Neodiprion lecontei: one gene and its partner. The protein of the gene in region 1 interacts with the protein of each later gene in a biochemical or structural test. Links are inferred from orthologs where the notes say so. Each region holds a gene or a part of one and is shown in the gene's direction. Other genes may lie near its edges.

What was found.
Region 2: the proteins of C-terminal-binding protein (region 1) and protein hairy form a complex in vitro, tested with the Drosophila melanogaster proteins (2 studies listed by BioGRID). The link is inferred for Neodiprion lecontei from reciprocal best matches to the Drosophila melanogaster genes CtBP and hry.

Annotation. Positions count from the first base shown.
Region 1 is NC_060260.1:13,754,445-13,762,098, reverse strand, and holds the start of C-terminal-binding protein, read left to right. Parts: upstream 1-2,759; 5' UTR 2,760-3,130; intron 3,131-7,654. Other genes in the region: E3 ubiquitin-protein transferase MAEA, read right to left, coding at 1-328, 1,950-1,988. UniProt on the Drosophila melanogaster protein: Corepressor targeting diverse transcription regulators. Hairy-interacting protein required for embryonic segmentation and hairy-mediated transcriptional repression.
Region 2 is NC_060261.1:36,899,601-36,908,216, forward strand, and holds protein hairy, read left to right. Parts: upstream 1-3,644; 5' UTR 3,645-4,160; coding exon 4,161-4,307; intron 4,308-5,074; coding exon 5,075-5,170; intron 5,171-5,319; coding exon 5,320-6,156; 3' UTR 6,157-7,185; downstream 7,186-8,616. UniProt on the Drosophila melanogaster protein: Pair-rule protein that regulates embryonic segmentation and adult bristle patterning. Transcriptional repressor of genes that require a bHLH protein for their transcription (e.g. ftz).

The DNA of each region.
Region 1 (7,654 bases):
CCAGCATCCTGTCCAGTCTTTGTCTTCTCCACTGGTTGACAGCACTTGGCGCTGTATTGGCATGTTCCTTCAAGTGATCCAGTCGTCTTTTGCAGACCATACCAGCCTGTAGCTCTTCTGCGATTGATTCTTGTGCTTTACGCTTGAGCACTTGAAGTCTAGCTACAACACCTCCTAACAGACGAGTTATTTCGCCGCTGGCCACCCCCCCTGATTCTCCCACTAATCCTTTCTCCAATTCGTTTGCCGCTGTCTGGACATGAGAAACTTCACGATCCAAAGTCTTTTGAGCTGATCGAAATTTTTTATTTAATAGCTCGTACGGCACCTAGAACACAATTAATTGTAAATTGGATCAGATATTCACACAGCTTGTATTGTTGATATCGGTTTTCAGTAAGCTTTGTTCAATAATTGGAAACTAAATACAAAATTTAATCAATCTTTGAAAATATTGGAGTGATGTGTGGAATTATAGGAAGTTCTCTCTTGACAATTTTTGACAATAATCGATTGTTTTTCAGTATTACAAGCCAAACCAATTGTTAAATGCAGATTTTTTCATTTTTGTATAAGAATCTGTTGACAAAAACTGTTCATCCATTGTGTCGTCTCCCTGTAATCAGTGCAGGATATTATAATTCGTGAGATTGCATGCGGTACATGATTTGATGGGAATAAAATGATGCTATTTGTGAATTTTTACATTTTGTATGTCTTACATATTTATATCTGAATTTTGACAATATCTCAGCTAGAGGAGAAGGTCAAGCTATGCGTTAATTGAATCATTACTTTGTCATTTAAATAACACAAGCCAGTGAAAATTTTTGTTCTCTAGTTCTCGTTAATCTTGGACAAATTTCTGAGAAACATCTTGAAGGTGTGGACGAAGAAACAACGATAGACAAGCGTGAAATGTTCCAAAAAATCGATCCTTCGGAAAAATGAATAAAAAATCATCTTGGATTAAATAAAAAAGGTATGCTCAGTACCACAGAGATTCCGGAATTTTTTTATTAACATCATTCGAAGTACGTCTAATATTTTTCATGCTTGAAGTTCTAATGTAGGATGCAGAAAATAGTTGTTATTCTAAGTGTGTTTTAACGATGAAAATGATAATGTGTCGAAGTTTTATATAAAAATGGGATAAGCTGAGTGTAAAGCGAAAAATAATTATAATTGGTGTTATTTCTAAATGTCTTATAATTCAGCTATTTCAAAATAGTATTATTAATAATAAATGGTCTGCAATCTGTGGACTTGATATTTTACATCAAAATAAGAATATACGAGGCGCGTAAAATATCTTGACAATACAGAACAAGTACGAATTGTAATCGGCTGTAGTAATCCAAGGTCAAGCAGGGAATAAATTGTTTCAGTTATAAATAGGAGAAAAAAAAAAAAAAATCAGATCTGCCATGTGTACCTCGACAATAGCGTTATCATCAACTGTGAATACATTATTCAGACAGGGTAGAAATGGCATTGAGTAAGTGAATACAAATAGTATTCTTCATGTTTTTGATACACCATAAATTGAAAGTAGTATTTACTTGTCAAGAAATGACAAAAAGAAAGAAAGAAAAACTACCGTAAGACTGACCATCACAAACTACAAACGAGTGATTTACACAAAAAACAATGCAAAGATGAAGTCTGCCTTTGGGCGAGAAAAAAAATTCTTACGCGGGTGTGTATGACAGTTATTCAAAGAATTATTCGTCAATCTTATCATACTTTCATAAAAAACGATAACAATATTGGGAAGTTCAGATAACGGCTGTAAAAGGAAACCTTTTTTGTTTGCCTGAATATTATAAGTGTCTGAAAGAAGAAAATTTTCCCATCGTGTAGCCGAGTTTGATGAATTCGAAGAGGATTCAGGTTCAGCCATCATAATAAATTCTGACGTTTCGAAGTGACGAAACATGCTTATTTACCTTCAAAGTTGGGTGCTCCAAGCTCTTAACGTCCGACATGTTCAATTCTCTTCGAATTAAATCGCTCCAATTTGATTCAAATTATTCTCTGATGTCGTGTAGTGTCAAAGAATTGCCAGTGGAACGCCTTGACGGACTACGCATTAGTAGCTGAAATCAAAACCCGTCCATTATCTTCCAGCTGACTGGTGTAAACAGACCTCGGACCATACACTCCAAACAGACTATGCTACGGATTTGCGTTTATACAAGACTTGACTGCAGTTTCGCCTAACTTGGTGCTACACGCGAGTAAATAATGAACTTGCAACATTTGTGTTTCTCGAACAGATGGCGCCATTCGAAAGATTGCCAGTCGACATCTCCACGTTGTACAACTGCTTTGTATCGTCACTTGAAACGTGTTAATTGTTGCCGCTGAATTACCTCTCTTGCTCAGTGATGCAATTACCAATTTGTCAATCTGCGTGATACTAATTATCAATTAAAAACAATACAGTTTTGCGGTCAAGCGAAAGGTATGTACATACCTATACATACTACACGTAGAAAGAACAAATCCGTACGACACAACTTCCCGATGCATCGAAACGACAGCGCGTTGCTTACGAAGATATAAACGACGAGTGATGAGTGAGCTTTCGACGTGAGCGAGGCTAATCCTGTTTGAAAATACTCTGAAATAAAAATCGCGTGGTTTGCGAAACGTGTCGGAAGGGGTATCGGCGAACATCCATCCATAGCTGGTTTGACGATCGGCGGATATTCGAACGGTGAAAATACATTGGACAACATTTGTAATTCAGTCGTTCGTATTATTTCGGCGATGATCGGAGGCGCGCGCTACTCGCTCGGGGGGGCCGCCATTTTCCTCCAGTGAGGGAGAGAGTCGCTCGGCCGTGCTTCGCAAGCGTTCTCTGTTAATTATTACTTATTTCGGTTGACAATTGAGTGACTTTCGCGAGTGCGGGGTGTCGGGTGGGCGCGCGGGACCCTTGGGCCCAAATTGTGCAACCAAAAGCCCAAAGTAACAAGAAAAACTCGGGTTAAACCGGGACCAAACACCGAAACGCCAAGTGCGCCCGACTAACATTGTGTGCCGTGATTCGAAGGGTGATTCTCCAACGGCGAAATATTACACCGTCACTCATCTCGGCGAATGATTGATTCGTTAGAAAGAGGTACGTAGACAAATCCCTACATAATTCCGGTGCATAATCAGCGATAGTTTTACCGGGTTCCTGGCTAGGATGCCTACGCTCTGCCATCCATGCGTCTTTCTTCGCAGGCAAACGCAATAAGCATCGGGCAAGCAGGCGGGTAGATAGATGCACAGATAGGTGGCCTAGCTATAGCCGAAGAATATCCGAAGCGCGCGTGTCTGCGCTCCAATTCATTCGTGGGTGTTACGTGTTCGTGAAAAGATGCGTGGTTTACGTCGCTGATATGGCGGGAGTAGAGACGCTTCGGCAGCCACGCGCATTTATTTCATTCCTCCCCCTTAATACGCGCACTTGTCGGCTATTCGACCGACGGCCGCGGCGTTCTACCATCGCCTAACCGCCAGCTATCGCCATTACGTTACACTTGTCGCTTTCCTTCTTCGCCAAACTTTTACCTTTTACATTTATTTCTTATCTACCCCCTCCTTCCGTTCTCCCTTACCACTCCTCCCCTCTCGTTTCTCTCTCTCTCTCCCGCTCTCTCTCTATCTTTGCTTCTGTTACACCGTAGTTTACTCGTTAAACACGACTTCACTGGCTTCTTTAATATCGGGCCAATCGACGTCTTTAATTCGCGTTACCATGGAAGAAGAAATTGTGGCAACTTTCTCAACAATGACGATCAGACTATTTCGGCCATAACTTTTCATCATTTGTTCTATTCTTTAATTCCTTAATTTCTAGTTGTGTTAATTTCGGACAACAAAAACGAGTCTGTTGAAACTTGAATTTCAAACTTGAGTTCGGAACGCATGTATGATACCAACACCACGTGCCTCCTTCATTGTTACACTATACCGTTAATTGTACGACTGAGTAGAGAACACTTTTACCGAAGAAATGATTCATTTATAATTCATTAAACGTACGTACGTTCGTTCGTCGCGTCCGATCATTTTCGCACTGTGCGAAATAATACTTGACATACCTACATTGCTGTCGAGGATCGTTGAGTTTGGTTTTCCGGAGAAAAAAAGTTTTTATACATCTAAAAATATACCACACGGAGCATATGTGTACAATCATTTAAACGCATGGTTCGAGTTGTGTGCGTGATTAAAGTTACGCGTATGTCTACACACATCGTAGTTCATCTCTGATACGAATTTAATCTACCGAACGAATACGTTTACCGAATGTATATAATAAAAATAAATGGTAATCATTTACTACATTTACTCACAAGAGTCGTCGTGTAGGCAAATCTCGTGACGTAAAGTTTTTCTTCTTTTTTACGTTCCGTTAAACGTAGATGAAAAAATTGAACGTTCGATTGGACGAGTGGATGATCGGGAGATTATTGAAATCAGTTATTAAAATGTTATAATAAGTTGAAAAATAACCAACCAATTGCCGTGTGTTTTGTTCCGGTGCACAATTTTTTCGAAATATCAGAACTAGTTTATAATTCTGAGATACGAAGCATATATGTTGATGTTGGATTTCCGTTTAAAATATCACCACATTTCAGTCCCTCGGTCTGGATTTCTTTTATTAATCGCGTTGCTCGTCAACTCGTCTTCTCGGTTCTGCGGCTAATAATTCTTAGATAATTGTAATCAACGTACGGGAGAGAAAATGAATACATACGTATTATCCCGGTATGTTGAGAGACAAGGTATTGTATAATTATATACTTTTGGCGTGTTTTATGAACTCGGAGCAACGCGTTTGTACACGAATGAAAAAAAAATAATTATTATTATCAAATATTGTGATGCCGAGAAACAAAATGAATACACGCATATGTATAACCGTTATTTCTCACATCAGAGGAAAAACTAGATATTTCCGAATTCCTTACATGCATGGTGTGCAAGCATGTTCAGGCTCACAATTTCTTCTTCAGGACTTTGGACTTTCTTAGGTATATTTGCTACTCGCGTTCGTTTATACAATCGTATCCGAAAACTATACATATACGACTGAGAATTGAAAGGCCAAGTTTATTGCTGCTCATATCCAGTCATGACTCGCTCGCTCGTTCTCGTTTTATTCATCGTTGATCGTTACTTCATCAATGTATTAATCTTCCGAATGAAACTTTCTATTGTTCAGAAGTGACCGAAGCTCCGATGATGCGATCGGCGCATATTACGTATGTTACATACATGTATGTATACATATTTATACATTATACTTATGTATACATGCATTACGTAGTTATACACAAATACGCTCATATTGCAATCACCTACAGATATGCGTGCTGCGATTACGAATATTACGTTTTCCTACTGAAATTGACTTTATTTTTTCTGATACACAGACAGTAATTTATTGAATATTGGCCACTAGTGCGACTGAAAATCGATTTTAGCTAAAGTCCGCTCAAAAGCTGCTGTCTTTCATTCATGGAAAATGAACCAATGGAAATTCAACGAACTTCACATGCTCGAGCGTTCTTTTCTATTCTTTTGAGAGTAAAGAAAAGAAATGCTAAATTTTTGCATTAAAGAAAAATTTAATAAATCTTGTCAAAAGTTGAGTTGTCAATATTTAATTTATATCGGATACTTAAAACAAAATGTTGAAAGATTGTTGAAAATAAGCGTAAAAAAAATCTTTAGTCTTGAGTTTGACATTAACTGATTGACCCGAAACTTTGAATTTTTTTTCACATTGTACGGTGACAACAAGTGCAGTGTAATTGACTTTCGGATTAGTTCGGATTAGCGCCAAAAAATAATTCATCTGCAAACAACAGAATTGAAGTTAGTAATTTTAAGATAATAAAGCATCGACACAAAACTCGTTAATTTACTATTTCGGAAAGATTTTGAAAACGTTTAGTCTGCACAACGTGAGTACGTTTTGCTTTAATTGTGGATTACTGAATTTCAAACGATTCTGAAGTTGCGAAGTAACGTTTTTTCTTGAATATGCATCGATATATTAACGTTACGAACTTCAACCTCATTTGCAAACATTCTATGTACACACGTGCAGATGTATGTGATGTTCGTACTGTCGCTGATGAAGTATAATGCGTGCCTCTATATGTATATGGAATACATCTTTATATTATACGTAGTTTGTAGCGATAACTACATGACGAGTATAATATAATAAACGTATTCGTATTACAAGAATATATATACAGGTATACATTATATACGCGTGCTTGCTGCAGCTGTTTTCCCCCTCTTATTTCAACCTGTGACTATTAGATGTGACGTTTTTTGTCCGGTAATCTATCTCACGGTTCAACATTACACATACCTCGTGTTTCATTAATTTTATGAACTTTCATTAGTCAAAACGAAAGCTCCATCACAAGGAGTCCTATAATCAGCCAAAGTTTGAAGATATTTCATTCGTACTGAGAAAGAGTAAGTATTGCAAAAAAAAAACGATTTGTCTCATTTGACAGAGGTTTGACATCCCCTTGAGCCGATTAGATTATTCGATCTATCATATTTTCATACATTATTATACATATATTGCGAGTCGACTGTTCGCAATATCAATGCTAATCCAAATATAGAGATTTGCAATTTTTCGTTATGTAATGACGTTGAGCTGTGGCTTAGCGGATAATAAAATATGCATGAAAGAAGCGGCGGCACGTTCTATGGTTAATAAAAGAAGTTTACCCGGTATCCTAAACGCCACGTAACTTTCGATTGCAAGTGTAAAGCCTGCCTCGAGGAGGGAAATAGTCAACTCGAGCGCAAATAGTCAACTTTGAATTGTTGTTCTTGCGTCACGGTTTGCGGTCTCTGTGCTGAGTCAACTTTCATAACAAAATAGTATTCCAGGATATTTGGGGTCGCCGATTACGAATCTCAAATCAGATTTCAAAAATTCGACACGTCGGCCGCAATATGGCGGACTAAAATTTCAAGTTTGATCGAATACGGCCAAAAAACTCTGCGGGACTTCTCGGGGTCGCTGATTGGATTTTCCATACTGAATTTACAAAATCTGATTTCAGAAATAACCAGCGACCCCAAAAACACCTGGACAGAGTTTTTTTTCTCTGGATTCGATGAAATTTGAAACTTTCGTCCGCCATATTGGATCCACTATCTTGAATGTTAAAAATCTGATTTCAGATTCGTAATCAGCGACCTCAAAAACTTATGATTTACGTATAACATGTGTAGAGGGGTAACTGTCTCGGAAATTAATCATCCCTGCAATTTCAACGATTTTTTGCTATCAACTTGTTTCTAACAATATTAAATTTCATTATACTGCAAAAATTACTCTCGAGTATTGAAAACCTTGTAGTAAACTATCAGAAATGTGTTGGAAAATTTCTCTAAATATACAAAAAATTGATATAAAATGGTTGGTAAGAATACTTGCCACTATGGACTTGAAAGGTTTAATGCATGAAGTGTGTACGTATATGATATAGACATATATATACGGTTAAACGGTCTGCTGTAGGTAGGTCAGACAGGGCTAGACTAGGTTACGCTTATACGCTTCGCCTTCGTCATGATGTCGGAAAACACATTTTGGGGGTGAAAC
Region 2 (8,616 bases), on another chromosome or scaffold:
GGGTATGTAATGCACGGATTGCCGTGCATAACGCTGGCATTAGCTTGGCACCGTGCAACGAGCCCTCGAGGTATGCCCGTGGCTAATGAGTCCTTCAGGACCCGCAGTCGGACTGGAGACAAACGGCACGCCGATCAGTTTCACTTTATATTTAGTAATTCAACACTGTACCTACATTTCTCAAGTATTTTCTTCCACATCTACGCGTAAGAACTTGTTCTGCGATTAATGTTATCACTTTTTTTTAGCAAGAAAGTTATTCGAAGACACAACGAACTTTATACCACGTTTACCTAATTGTAGAGCAGGATTAATTCCGTGGATCGGTTAGAGCTCGTTGGTATATAAGTGTAAACCCGAGACGATATTACGTAGAAAAATATATTGCAGTAGCTGATTATCGATCGAAATGAACGAGCGATGTTTGCTCAAATATCGAGCATCGGTAATTTCATGCCCGCGCTGATTATTCCCATCATTAATTTCACAGATACCACACCCAGTGGAAATATTTAATGCTTCCTACGCGGAGGTACTTGAATGGTTTCCAATTTTTCCACTTGCGATATAAGGCGAGAGAGATTAACAAAATTATCAGTTTGTAATAGAAGGTGCATAATAAGCTACTCATCTTTTAGTGTTCCATAAAAATCTGACGTTGTTCCAGGATGTATACACAGATTTGGAATTTATTGAATTCACCAAACATGGTGATCAAATTCTTCCGGTTCAGAGAAATGTTATATGATTCAATAAAAAAGGGGTTAGACAATAATTTGTACTGCCAAGTAAAACCGAATTCATTTGAAATAATGAAACACTTCTTTCGCCGTATCTGATATATTTGGTATATATTTGGTAAATTCCTTATTTATGTATGTATGAAACTGTGGAAAGGAATAAGTAGTTGATTATCTATAGACTCTATACTTCCTTGATACCCCTTTATTTTCAAGGATAAAAATAATTATGGTATATGTATATGTATTTATAACTCGCCTTCGGCTTATCTGCGACAGTATATAAACATATGTGTAACACGCATCCGTCAGAATTCTTAGCTGAACCGCATGCATGTGCTACATATGTATATATGTATATAACACGAGTTTCTGATAAATTGAGTTGAAGCGACGTTTTGAGTCATACATGCAAGTTAAATCTGTCGCATGTCAAGTTTATATAAAAGATCGAACGATAACTCAAAGTAGCGGATAGACGGCCTTCGCCCATTCTGTTGCCCATATATAGGCCTAATTCAATTACCTTCTCAACAATAATTGCCGTCGTCCTCGAGGCGAAGTGCGCCAGAGACACCCGACGACATTATCTGGGCCTGCGTGAAGGCAAGGACAAATTGGAAACCTTCGATGCAAAACAGAGCGATTCGATTAATTTTCCGATGCCGATATTCCTTCAAGATTAATTGCCGGCAACTTATCGTCGCGCGCGTCTAGACGTGCCGCAGACTCGCGATAACAGCGACGATTCACGCTGATATCGCTGTACCCTCACGTGCCGATTATCATCCGCAACGGAGAACAAAGAATTAAAAAATAATATGATAGCCTAAATTCAAGTGTTCATGTATTATCGTTCCCTGCGTCCAGTCGACGTACTCCCGAAACTAACAGGTTGAACGGCGCACCTTTCGCCGGGGTAAAAGTTCGGCCCAATCCCGCCAGGCGGAGGCATCATCCTGCATCATCCAGGCTCAGGATCAGGCCGCCGTCGCGCCGGTCTGCTCATCTACTCCTAATATACGCGAGAGTTCGAGGCTCGATTACGACGAATGACGCGAAGGATAGGCCAGAGTGGCGTATCGGCGATGAGACAAGCGCACGAGACGTAGATTACTCTCGGCTAAAGGAACAACATTGCGCGCGTGTCGAACTCTGGCTGCACGATGCGACCGCGAAGCTGAACAAATCAGCCTAGCTTGACTCGGGTGTGTATAGTACACGACCACAACGTCCACGGATGCGATAATCGTGAGGTAACCCGGACGTCGAATATCGATGCGACGATTAATCTGACGCGAAAAAAGAAACTCCAGGGACCCGGTACAATCAGAATCGCGATAGCGGACGAGAGACCCGCTCGTTCATTCCTCGTTAGACGGATCGACCCGACAGCCCCGCAGGCGATGCGTCGATTGCCGTCGATGATCGCATGAGACGATCGTACAGGTACGACCGGCTAATGACGGAGAATTTATCGCCAGCGTAGGTACGATGACTCTTACGATACCCCGTTTCAGCTGAATTTAATCACGAAGCCAAACCCAGCCCGTTACAATCTCGGTAAAGAGAGTATAACACCTGTAAGGGCGAACCTTGATCGTAGAAGGGTTAAAAAGTCTGTAAGAGATAAAAGTCGAAGTCCTTCAACGGAACGCAAAGACCCACCGATATCAAATATCGCGACCACGTAGCCCGAGCGCCAGAGGTCGAATGATCGTTTCGCCCCACCACAGACCAACTAAGCGGCACGCTCGACGCGAGTCGCGCTCGGTGAGTGGAGGGGGCGGCGTCTCGGCCAATGGGGATCGCGGCTGGCGTGCGACGGATCGAATAGGAGCTCGCCGATTGGCCGGTGATGTTTCGCGTCTCTGTCGCTCGCCCGTCTCTCGAGCTCTCCGTCGGCGCGTAGCCTCCCCCCTCCACTTTCCCAAGCTCGCTATACTTGCTCCTCTCACTCTCCAGCCTCCCCTCGACGCGTGCGTTTATCGCCGTCCCACTCGCGCCTCGGATGCACCGCGTTATCTATTTCGCTCCGGGGGTCGCGAGCCGCTTCCCGGCGCGACTCGCCCTCCTCCGACCCCTCGCCCACGTGCACGAGACTATGACGAGAACGATGCAAGAAACTCCGCACGACTGACACACTCAGAAGGAGAGATCAGCCAGCCTTGTTGCGTGCAATCCGGTCCGTATAAACGCCGAGTAGTTTGAGCGGTGCCATGACGAACCGACGAAATTGTAAACCTTGACTTAGGCTGCTGGTACGATTCCGCGACGTTTTTACCAACACACCGGATATCGCGATAACCCCGCTCGTATTACTTATCGCGTCAGTGAATCACATCCCGAGTGCAAAGAACTCCGATCAACCGCAAAGAAAGCAGGATTTCCTAATTCTCATATTCTCGCGTAACCGAGTGCTCTGCACGCGACTATTAATAACGCGGCTAAAGTACGGCGTAGTTGGACGATTCACGATGTCATGACTAGCAATTACACTTGGCGGAAAAACCGCTTCATAAACTCAGACTCACGATTATTCCGCAAAAGACATTTCTCGGGGATGCCTCGAGCTTGCTACATTATTCCGCGTGTCGCGATCCCACGCGATTGTCGATCTACTCGCACTTGCGGAATATTCCAAACACCGGGGAAACGAAACACGACCTACAGATAAGCCGCAGACTGCCGGGAGTGCAGGTATAGTAGAATGTGTAGTAGGTAAATGTGTAGATATGTGCGGATCTCAAGGCAACCGCAAAGCTCGACGGCCAGACGCGTCAGGACGAGTCGCTTCGAGCAGGCCGGAGGTGGGGGTCGAGAAGCGTGCAGCCGCGCGGCGCCGTCGGCCAAAAGTGGCTGCGGAGGGGCAGGGCGGGGGGGGGGGGGCCCGTTTCCCCCTCCCAGCGGTCGAGGACGGTCGGCTCGTTCGAGGAGTCGGAGTCTAGAGCCAGAAAACGTCGGACTGCAGCGAGTACGCGAGTCAGTCGAGCTCCGATGCGCTCAGCGACAGGTCGAGCCTAGGAGCGATCTAGCGATCTGGCAATTGGCCGCGGATGATTGAAGCTTCGACTTCGATTGCAATTTACGATAAAGAATTCCAAACTTTTTCATTTTACGAAATTGACCACCGATCGGATTACGGGACGAGTGTGGACGTTAACGAAAAAGAAAAGAACGTGGTTTTTAAGAATTTTTGGTTTTTTAATCAACAAAGTGATTCGTTCGCCGTCATCAATCGCCGTCGAAGAAGCTTTGGATTATTTTTACTACCTACCTGTGAAGTGTGAAATAATATATTAAATAAAAACGAAAAAACATTGTTTTTCAAAATAGTGGAGAGGATAGTTAAACTTGATTAAAACGAGATTGTATACGCCCGGTTTCGTCTCTCTGAGGTGAGATTATAACGTTTAAATCATGGTGACCGGAGTTGGTGCTACGATGCCAACCGGAGGTGTCACGGTGGGCTCTGCGCCACAGACCCAACACGTGCCTCAGGAGGCAGGACAACCTCCTGCTCAGACTGCGACTTCAACCACCAGACGATCCGGGGAAAATCGACGGGTTAGTGTCTCTTCTATATGTTCTCGAGATAATGGGAAACAAAAAGAAATCTTAAGAAATCTAGCGAAACATAAGGAATAAATTCGATAAAATCTTGAGCACGTTTCGGAGCTGTTGGATAGCTAGTTCGAAAAGAACACCCTAAAATCCCGACAAGGTTCTTGAAACGTTCCGATCGAGTCGTATAACCGGTTGGCTGGTCAAGAAATTGGAAAGATGGCAAGAATGGTCCGACTTTTTGCCTTTCGATGTGAAAAATTGTTCTCGTTTTTATCAGCGTTGTTTCTTCTTTTTTTCTTTCTGATCGAAATTTCAATCACTCAAAAGTTGCGAGATCCACTCCGCGTCTTTTCGGAGCGAATTATTCAAGGGTGTTCAGTTGGGTGCGGGTTAACGGAACACATTTGGATTTTCATTCTTATTTCGATTTTACGGAGACACCTGCAGCTTCTGATTTCTAAGAGTCATTGAACCGACGGACACTTGTCGTCTTTGAGGCGAAAATGTCTAGCGCTCGATTCGATTGTAGGCAGGCTGTTAAAGGCGACGCGTCCAAGTGCCTAGAGAAAGTAGAACGTCGCCGTCGGCCGGCTTTAATACCGCGAATAATCCCACCGGCCGGTTTCTTCTTTTCCACTGCTTTCCGGGTTGAAATTTCCTGTGCCTATTTTCGTTTTATTTATTTATTTATTTTTTTATTCTTGTAAGCACGCTTTAAATTCGTGACCCTGAAATTAACCGACGATGATGTTTTTTTTTAATTACAGAGCAATAAACCGATAATGGAAAAACGTCGTCGGGCTCGGATTAACAACTGCCTGAATGATCTGAAGACCCTGATACTCGACGCGATGAAAAAAGACGTAAGTATCTATAATTTTCGAATAGCTCAGCAGGTGAAACAGGCGTGAGGATTAGTCCTGTTCTCATTCTGTTTCTTCCGTATCCTTTCCTCTGCAGCGACAAGACTGCATTCGACTAACCACCGTGTTTCTCCAATTTCTGATTACAGCCAGCGAGACACTCGAAGCTGGAAAAAGCTGACATCCTCGAGATGACGGTAAAGCACCTGGAGACGTTGCAGCGTCAGCAAGTAGCTCTTGCGGCGGCGACAGACCCGAACGTGCTGAACAAGTTCCGTGCCGGATTCACAGAATGCGCAGGAGAAGTCGGCCGGTTCCCAGGCCTCGAGGCGTCGGTGAAGCGACGTCTGATGGCGCACTTGGCCTCGTGCCTGGGCCCCGTCGACTCGACGACGACGTCGAACGGCCAGAGCGGACAGCAGCCGGTGCAGCCGGCGGCGCCGGCGACCCAACTCCAGGTCCACATCCTGCCGCAGGTCGACGCAACACCCAGGATCCAGGTCCAGCAGTCGAACGGCATCTTCTTCACGAACGCCAACGGGACGGGACTCCAGTTGGTACCGACGCGCCTTCCCAACGGCGACATCGCCCTCGTTCTGCCCGCTGGCGCCAAGGCGACACCCGTCGCGTCACCGTCGGCATCGCCGGCCCCCGCGTCGCCTTTACCCACCCTGATACCGATCCCCCAGAGGACGGCCTCAACCGCGTCGGCATCCTCGTCCTCTTCCTCGACGAGCTCGACCTCCACCTCGGCCGGCAGTCCCGTTGCCTTTGAGGCGCCCCCGCCCACATTCAGGGAGCAGAATTCACCCTTCACCACCACCGCAAGCCACAGAGACGTCGCCACTTCACCGGCGAACGGATACACCAGCGACCCTGAGTTCGATCCCCGGGTCTACAGTGCGCCGCTGCAGAAACCTCTCGCTCTCGTTATGAGGAAGAGCGTCGTTCCTGAGGTCGAGGACAAACCCTGGAGACCTTGGTAAGGAGGAGATTTATCGAGGATTTACCTTAACGCGCCTGTGCGAATCGAGAGATGAGAGAATATCGATGACTTGGGCTTCCCCGACAAAGACTAATTGATCTTCGTTTTTATTTTGACTTTGATTGGTTGTTATTTTTTTTTTTTTTATGATTTTCATTCATTTTCTTATTTCCAACGAGAATGATGTAACGACTTAGAGCTTAGGGATGTAGAGAGTGAGTGTCTCCGCGATGTCGGCCAGTATAATAATTAACCTGTTGGGCAGTGCCTTGAACAGTGCCTTTGTTGTAGATCGTGTATCTAGAGTTGTTTTGTATATATAGAGATATTTGCCACTTGTGGACTTTAACCGAGACTAATTGACGATGGATAAGAGTAAGAAGAAATGAAAATATAAATGTGTAATGGTTTGGTTTTTTTTCTACTAACGGTTCGGAAACCTATTTGATTGAAATTCATTTGAACCTTGACGATCCGACAGTTTAGAAATGTAAATATAGTAAACTGTAAAGTGTAGGTATAACGTACGTTATTGTACCCCCGTCACCCTCTACGATTATTAAACTATATAAGTGCCTTACGCAACAAGAATCACTCAAGTCTTCCATTAATAATAATTAATACCTTATATGTTTCTTGTGTACGTAAATCGCGCTGCAGAGAAAAAAAACGTTTAAACAGAATAAAAATAAAATGTGTAATAACGTTGTGTAAATTATAATAGATGTATAAGAATTTTGTAATTAATTTGTTATGATTATCCGATTAGACGGTTTAGTGATGTAAGAAATTGCGAGATACGACGAGAAAAAGTTGACGAAAGAATATGTAGAGGAGAGGAGATATAGGTAGATAAGAAAGAGAAAGAGAGACAGAGAGAGAGAAAGAAAGGACGTATGTAAGAATGTTTTATTTATATTTATGAGTGTAAAAGATTGAGTTTATTATTCCTGTCTATTATGACGATAGAAAAGCACGCTTATTACAACAAGAGTGTCAAATAAATTGATCTCTTTATTAAAACCTTTAATTTGACTCGTCAGTTCAACCCCATCCGCCGCACACCTCCTTTCCCTTTGTACTTTATACTCCGACTCTGACGTCTTCATATCGTTTCACGAAGCCGATTCAGGCTCTTCTACTTGAAAATTCCAAAAAAAAAAAAAAAAAACCACGACGTTTCTGTAGTATTAGAATTCGTCAAACTATCCGAAAAATATATTTACAAAAAATGATCGGTCTGCAAAGTGCCATTAAAAATTGTTCGCTTCTTGAACAAGAAATCAGCTTCCTTCGGTCCGGTTCGCCGCTCGCATCTCACACACGTTGCACGTCTGGAGAGCGACTAACCGCGAGTTAAGTCAAGGACCCATCTTCTCCCACTCCTCGGCGTCCGGCTCTCGGTGAGCACGGTGCGCGCCTTTCGAGCACCAAAAAAAGTCCAGCGTGCGTCCTGCCGCCGAAACCCTTTGCAAGGACTTGCTGCCGCCTGGCGGGATGACGCGAAACCCTTCAGAGCCCGGATGTCTCGCCGAGGGTCCTGGCATTCTTTTTCGTCGACGATCGCTCGGGCGAAAGGGTGTGTATGGCCTACGGGAAACAGGGGAGACAAAAGTTACTTTGACCAGTATATCACAACAGGGAGTAACGAATTTCTTTTTGAGTTTTCCAAGCCGAGATATCGGGACGAACTCAATTATCCTGTTTTCGACAGCTGCCAATTTATCGAAATAGAATCATCGGCTCAAAAACACGGGGCAAACGAAGGAGAAAACATTTAGAATCGAGATGATATTTTTTTATAATTCGCATACTGTTTTTGCAGGTAACATTTTCACGGCAAGTAAGAGAGAACAAATTAAGAAAAAATACCAAGGGGTTGTATAATTTCGCGTGCCCCACGATGGAGCGAGAAAAACGGGAAAGAGAGACAGAAAAACTAAGGAGAGAATTGTGATTTTCGGTAAATTTGTTGCAATTTTTTGTCACGCGAAGAAAAGTGAAAGTTGAAGTTAGAACTAAGGAGAAATGTAATTGTAAATACTCAACTAACTTTAGAAAAAAACGAGCTCAAGAGGTACTGATCTGTACCAATTTTTTGTTTTTTAGACAATTGCCGAAACTTATAGACTAAACCTTGCTAGCTAGAATTTTGGTTCAGTGCCAATTATAAGGCTGCAGCAATCCAAACCAGCAAGGAACTTTTCGGTCACCTTAAAAAATTTATTGCGATTTCGAAAATTTTCCATCACAACTTTTCCGACTGTTTTTGAATAATCGTTTTAGTTTATCCGCAGACTGGTATGCAGGCGCATTGTCAACTGTCCGCTCCTCTTTTTTCGGAGAATGGGAAGTGCGTGTGTTCGTCGTTTATTTACGTATCCCATAGAACCGTGGGCCATTGGGCCACCTCCGGCTGAACTTGGCTGCGTCGAAAGAAGCAGCGCAAGAATTCGCAAGA